2 linked regions of the Xenopus tropicalis genome follow. Each later gene encodes a partner of the first gene's protein in a complex. Links are inferred from orthologs where the notes say so. Each region holds a gene or a part of one and is shown on either strand. Other genes may lie near its edges.

Evidence for each region.
Region 2: tubgcp3 (region 1) and nme7 share a complex: the UniProt entries of both Homo sapiens proteins name them as parts of the gamma-tubulin ring complex. The link is inferred for Xenopus tropicalis from reciprocal best matches to the Homo sapiens genes TUBGCP3 and NME7.

The regions. Positions count from the first base shown.
Region 1 is NC_030678.2:116,382,166-116,385,823, forward strand, and holds part of tubgcp3 (gamma-tubulin complex component 3), read left to right. Parts: coding exon 1-124; intron 125-638; coding exon 639-757; intron 758-3,658. UniProt on the Homo sapiens protein: Component of the gamma-tubulin ring complex (gTuRC) which mediates microtubule nucleation.
Region 2 is NC_030678.2:55,292,818-55,296,475, reverse strand, and holds part of nme7 (nucleoside diphosphate kinase 7), read left to right. Parts: intron 1-168; coding exon 169-279; intron 280-1,786; coding exon 1,787-1,837; intron 1,838-3,658. UniProt on the Homo sapiens protein: Possesses an intrinsic kinase activity. Displays 3'-5' exonuclease activity with a preference for single-stranded DNA. Does not seem to have nucleoside diphosphate kinase activity.

The DNA.
Region 1 (3,658 bases):
TCTCGCCTTGCTTGGACTTTAGCAGCTGGTCAGCAGCCATCACAACAAAGCACTACCACCAAAGGCCTTCCCAATACAGTATCACGAAATGTGCCAAGGACTAGAAGAGAAGGAGACTCAAGTGGTGAGAATAGAAATGCAGCTCTGGTTTCATGCCTGTTCTGCTAGGGGTTTAGGCTTAGAAAATGCAGGGAATATTTATTTTATTATTTCACAGCACAGAATTGAGGCTTGATAGACAAACTTTGCATCCTTTTGCAGCTGACAAAATTTTAAGTATATAAAGGACGTCTTCACTTTCAAATAACCCCCCCCCCCCCCCCCCCCACTAGGGCAACTTATTTTCTTTTCAGGAATACTGTCAGCCCACATATTTAAAAGGGAGGACATCATTTAGATTTTTTCTCCTGTGAGACAGAGAACTGTGTGTAGCAATCATGCAGCTATCATTGTGCACCCTAAAAATGCTAGAAAATACTTGATATATCCAGAGTCAGATTAAAATAATTCCAGAGCCATATTCACATCATTTTTAGAGACACATACCTTTTAGTCATATTCTGCATTATTTTCACAGTAAATGTATTTTTTCTGGAATAACCCAAATTTATATGGATTTATTTTTCCCTTTTTTTTAGGGTCTGTTGAAATTACAGAGACAGCTTTAGTGAGAGACCTTTTGTACGTTTTCCAGGGAATTGATGGGAAGTTCATAAAAATGTGCAATTCTGAAAACTGCTACAAAGTAGACGGCAAGGTAAAATAAATGAGTTGTGAAGTAGAACAGTATAATTGCAAGTATATATGTTGATGTGACTTTTTCACTAAAATCTGGAATTTAGGGGTAAAGAAATGTAAGAACCATTTCAGTATTATGGCAAATAATTTACATCTAAAGTTGGTTTAACCTCACCAGGAAAATATTTATCTTTGAAGCTTTGACTGAACATTTTACTAAAATATTTGGGAATGTTTTTGGCAATGCATTCAGAAATTTCTTTTTGTTGTTTTCTGCTTTGGCAGCTGCATTTTGCCTTCTTTTACTGATAAATATCACCATGAAAGAGATTTTCAGTTTCCAGAAATCTATTAGCTTTTCCTTCTCCTATCAAAGAGTTAATCTCAAGTTGCAGGCATACCTTCAGTTGTCTCAATAGTGCCCTTAAGTCTCCCCATACTTCACCTGTTCAGAAGATCAGAAGCCAAACAAGAAAAAAAAACGCTGAGCAGGGTAGAGAAGATTCCCATAATGCAACGCTCCTGCACTGACAATTTGACCAGATCCATAGCGTGCACATGCGCACACAGCAGGAGCGTCTGGTTGCTATGGCGACGCAGACGAGGACAGCCGGCAGGAGGGTGAAGCAAGAAGCGAGGCGGCAGGTGCGGGGAGCCCAATTCAGTGCCTTATCGTGACCATTTGTTGCTTACATGACAAGCTGTCACTATCACCCCCACCGTATAACATTACATAAGTCAGAATAATTGCAGGCACCTAAATGAAATCATGAGCAAAAGGTCAACGGATGTTTGTATGTTTGTCGCCAATGTCACTAACTCACAGCCAACGGGGTCCCCTCATTAGATAACAGCTTGTACCGCTGCCCTAAATATTATAATCGTCGAGCAGGGGGGAAGGGGGGGTGGCGGCGGCGGCGGTGGTTTGCGAGCCGGCAGGTGCTGAAATCAGAGCAGAGTGGGGGTGGGGGCATGTCTCAGTGGGGGCGGTGAGTTGTGAGCCGGCAGGCGATGGGATCAGAGTGCGGGGGGTGGCGGCAGTTTTATTATTATTATTAACATTTATTTATAAAGCACCAACATATTACACAGCGCTGTACAATAAGTGGGTTTCATACATTGGACATACAGAGTAACATAAAGCAATCAATAACCGATACAAGAGGTGAAGAGAAAAGAGCTTACAATCTTGTTTTGCGAGCTGGCAGGTGCTGGAATCAGAGCAGAGTGGGGGTGGGGGCATGTCTCAGTGGGGGCGGTGAGTTGTGAGCCGGCAGGCGATGGGATCAGAGTGCGGGGGGTGGCGGCAGTTTTATTATTATTATTAACATTTATTTATAAAGCACCAACATATTACACAGCGCTGTACAATAAGTGGGTTTCATACATTGGACATACAGAGTAACATAAAGCAATCAATAACCGATACAAGAGGTGAAGAGAAAAGAGCTTACAATCTTGTTTTGCGAGCTGGCAGGTGCTGGAATCAGAGCGGGGGGGGGGGGAGTGGCGGCGGCGTTGGGGGATGAGTTGTGAGTCGCAGATGCGGGAATCAGAGCGGGGGGGGGAATATGGGTTTGTGAGCCGACAGATGCGGGGATCAGAGGGGGGGGGGCCTGTGCTTTTTCAGCAATAGCCCATACAGATGTGCTGGACAAGATGGCAGCGCCGTTCACTGCAACAAGTATGCAGTTTCTAGTGCGTGTATCTCTGTAAATCTTTTATTAGGCAAACCAGAAATATAGCGTTTCTACACAGCAATAGTAGTACTATTTAATAGTGTGCTTAAAGGAACAGTAACACTAAAAAAATGAAAGCGCTTTAAAGTAATAAAAATATAATGCACTGTTGCCCTGAACTGGTAAAACTGGTGTGTTTGCTACAGTAACACTACTATAATTTATATAATAAGCTGCTGTGTAGCCACGGGGGCAGCCATTCAAGCTGGAAAAAAGGAGAAAAGGCACAGGTTACATAGCAGATAACAGATAAGTTCTGTAGAATACAATAGTGTTTTATCTGTTATCTGCTATGTGCCTGTGCCTTTTCTCCTTTGAATGGCTGCCTCCATGGCTACACAGCAGCTTATTTATATAAATTATAGTAGACTTTCTGTAAACACACAACTTTTACCAGTGCAGGGCAGCAGCACATTATATTTTAGTTACTTTTATACACTTTTATTTTTTGGTGTTACTGTTCCTTTAATAGATTTTGACTTTCCTTGTCCTTTAAACTGTGGTATTGTAGTGCCATCCAGTGTACAAAAGGCAGCATTACTTAAGATGCTCTGTGATTTAAGGTGACCAATATTAATTAGATGATAAAGCAAAAACCAATTAATTGTAACAAAACGCATAACAATTATCTTATTATCCGATTTAGGCAAAACTCTTTATGACACTACCCAAGTTCTAAAGATAGTTTCATAACCTACTGTAAATAAAACTTTTCGTTATGTTGATAGAAATAACCTTTCGGATTTAATGGCTCAGCTGACTAAATTTTGAGACTAGTGTTCTGTGATTTAATGGACATTAAGTGAAAGGGTGTTGCGTATACTGAAAGGAATTTTTTTACTTTATCAACTCCCTTCTTATTTAAAGAAAGATTTTGCACAACCAGGCTATGTTCTGTAGATTGTGAGTGTCCACACTTATGGAATATCTATCACTGGGAAATGGCTCCCAGTGATCCTTAGCTTTTAGATCATTGCTGCACATTATTGTCGCCCATTAAAATCAACCAAAATGACCTTGAAATACCTTCTAAGCTGTAGCACTGAGGAAAAAGCCACTGTGCTTTCTCAATACACACCCCAGAGACCTGTATAGGGCAAGGTGACCTGATTAACTGCTAAATCCAGGCAATAAGCAAGTGTGGGAACTCAGTCTTTAACAGAATGTGTGCAGAAATTTTG
Region 2 (3,658 bases), about 61 Mb from region 1:
AAAGAGGGAGGGAAAGCTTTTCAGGAGCCAGCCTGAGAGACAGTGGCTAAAATTGCAGCTGATTACAGTAATAAATTCTCAAAAGCTTGCAGAAATAGAAAATGCTAATACATTGTTTTACCTAAAGCAAATGCATTCTAAAATATATTTATATTTTCTTTATTGCAGAACATTAGCTTTGATAAAACCAGATGCTGTAACAAAAATGGGTTCAATTATTGAAGCCATACTGGACTCAGGGTTTGTAATCTCAAAGGCTAAAATGGTTTTGCTCTTAAGGTAAATATTATGATAAAATTGATGCAGTTGTGCTGTAATTTCTTTGCATATTTTGAAATGAATATGTTGGAACTTTATAAATTATGGGTAATAAGTTAATAATTAGTTAAAGGGGTTGTTCACGGAACAAGTCGCCGGTGGAAAGGCCAGTGCATTGCTTCGGCTTTCCAGAGTCGCGTGAAGTTGCCTGCAGGAGGAAACTTTGTGCAACTTTGGAAGCCAAAGCAATGCGTAGGCCTCTCCAGCGGAGACTCCTGTTGTCGCTGGTGGAAAGGCATTTCGGAGCAGGTAGTCGCCACAGTAGCAGAGATCTATTGCGGGCGACTAACTCTGTGGGCCATCAGCCTTGAATTAACTTTTAATAGGATCTAGAGAGTGCTATTCCAAAACAGTTTACAATTGGTCTTCATTTTTTATTTGTGGGTTTTTAATTATTTAGCCTGTTGTTCAGCATCTTTCTTGAGTCAGAAGAGGAAGGCAAATAATTTAAAAACTATAAAAAAAAACCAAAAAACAAAGGCCGATTTAAACGTTGCTAAGAACAGTTCATTCTATAGCATACTAAAAGTTAACCTGAAGAATGAAGCACCCAGAGGGGACCAGATTTGGGTAAATTATGGAAGTCTTTTTCTAAAATGTCCATGTTTTCAAATCAGAAAGGTAGGTAGGACAGTTGTATCTGCCAGCCTATGTCCACCAATGGAGAAATACCTGAATCTGAGAACACTGCCTCCCTTTGACAGCACCACTGTAGATGTGTCCCATGACAAGAGGCGGCATGGAAAGTTTTAGTTAGAAACCAGTACATATTAAATTAGCCTCAGCTGGTAGTGAATGACAGCTATTGCCCTATTGTTTGTCTCATAAAGTTAAATTAGTATTTTTTTATCCACTTTCTTAAATCAGATCAGCCACAATGTTAAATACCAGTGTTTGTTTTTCCACCTTAATCAGCATTTATACCTCTCTTTGATGTGCTTTACTTTAATGGTGTCATTAAGCTCTAGTAAATTATATTAGCTTGCGGTTATTTCTCAGTGTGGTTCATATCAATTCTGCAAATCCACCCCCATTATATTAGCTGCCTAGAACTGGAAATGGGCTGAAAGAAACTGTCATAAGTTAAAGTACACAATACAGAGGGTAAGGCTGGACAAAGTGAATAAATTGTGTGTGTGTGTTTATACATATATATAAATAAAAATACCTCACACTGTCCGCACTCCCTTTAATTGTCCAAGATTCAAAGATAACGGCGTGGATAACGTACGTACGTACGTACGTACGTACGTACGTACGTACGTACGTACTTACATACACACAGTTTCTTTTCTTTACTTTGCTGATTTCACTTAAACTAGCTTAGATGTGTTATTTGGCCATGGGTGCCAAATCTTACTCATTCATCTGTATAGTGTATCCCCTAATGTAAAATATAAGACAAAATTTGCCAGGGGTAAAGAGGAAAAGAAATGCAGCTGTAACATCTCTTTATTCTTTTTTACAGAACTGAAGCAATGGACTTTTATAATGAACATCATTCAAAATCATTTTTTAGGTATGGTTTTAAAGTTGATCTACAGAAGGTAAAGTGGGATTAAAATTCAGTTGCGGTACACTGTGGACAATTTTGTCACCATATTTGACATATAAAGTCCCATTTACGACTGTGAGTGCAGTGTGCAATTTTTAGCTGCAATTTGCCATTTTTTTACCCACAACTTCAATGTCATTGTGGCTTGTCTTAAAGGAACAGTAACACCAAAAAATGAAAGTGTATAAAAGTAACTAAAATATAATGTGCTGCTGCCCTGCACTGGTAAAAGTTGTGTGTTTACTTCAGAAAGTCTACTATAATTTTATATAAATAAGGTGCTATATAGCCATGGGGGCAGCCATTCAAAGGAGAAAAGGCACAGGCACATAGCAGATAACAGATAAAACACTATTGTATTCTACAGAGCTTATCTGTTATCTGCTATGTAACCTGTGCCTTTCTCCTTTTTTCCAGCTTGAATGGCTGCCCCCGTGGCTACACAGCAGCTTATTATATAAATTATAGTAGTGTTACTGTAGCAAACACACCAGTTTTACCAGTGCAGGGCAACAGTACATTATATTTTTATTACTTTAAAGCTCTTTTATTTTTTAGTGTTACTGTTCCTTTAACCACAGTAGTATCTGATACAACAAAATTGAAGCAAGTGCAAAATTTCATTGTGGGGATTGCATTATTCAAATGGCATTACTGTGTCTTTTGCAAGTGTCTCTACATTTGTTGCACCTATTGACGCAGCCTGCTATGGGAACCTTGGAATAACTCAGGCTGTAGCTCAAGTTCCTTTTGTAAATATGCACACCTGTGAACAACCTGCTTATGGAAAAATATATATGCTTTGACATAGTTTTAGAGATTCTCTTTTATTATTAGGGAAGATTAAGGTATCCTAACTGGATGTTCATGTCCCTGTTTTGTTTGGATTTTTTTTATTTTGTTTACACCCCCTGGTGTTAGTCCACTTGCCTTTGCTCACTTAACCATGTGTCCTAGTGCCTATTTATAAGGCAATTATCATACAACCTGAGCATTCTCAAATTTGCAGTTTATCACATGCTTTCCCCTTCAACTGTACCCTTACACTTACTCTGGCCCACAGCTAATCCAACTTTGGCACACTATTTCAACTTGCTGCCTTTAAAGGGCATGTAAAACCCACACACAAAAATGTAATCAGTGAACAGCCTCTGAAATCTTTCAATACCTGCCACTCTGGTTGTCCAGAGGTTAATAGGAAGGCTGCAACATACCCTTAATCACTTAGATTTCCTTCTCCTCCTGAAACCCACTTGGGCCCCCTCCCATCAGGAATTTGCTTTGGCTATTGGCTTGTGGGCATGCTCAGTTGTTCTAAACTCAGATTACTAAACACATCCTTCAGACTAGCAGCCAGTGAAGAGATGGCATTGCTGGTTTCCATATAAACTCAGCTCTAGCTGTCTGCTTCTCTTTTTTTCTCCTAACCTCCTCTCCTGAGCTCAGCTGAATGCTGAATAAGGGTATGTGTGTGTATGCTGTTTGCAGATATAAATGTATCTGATTATGCATCAGAGGAAAAATGGCCACCGTGTGAAAGCTGCTATTTGCTTTAGGAAAATGTGATGGTGATGGAGGGGGATATATGCAGTACAAATAATGCCATTATGGTGGGGGTGACATGCCCAACTGATATACCTTGTAGGCAAATGTAGGCTTTACATGCCTTTAAAGATGCCTCCAGATCAGCCAAAAACAGTTGAGAAGGTCATGGACAGGCCCTCACTTGCTCCAATTGAGATTCATGCCTGTACTGCTACCAAAGAAGTTCTACTCACTAAACAA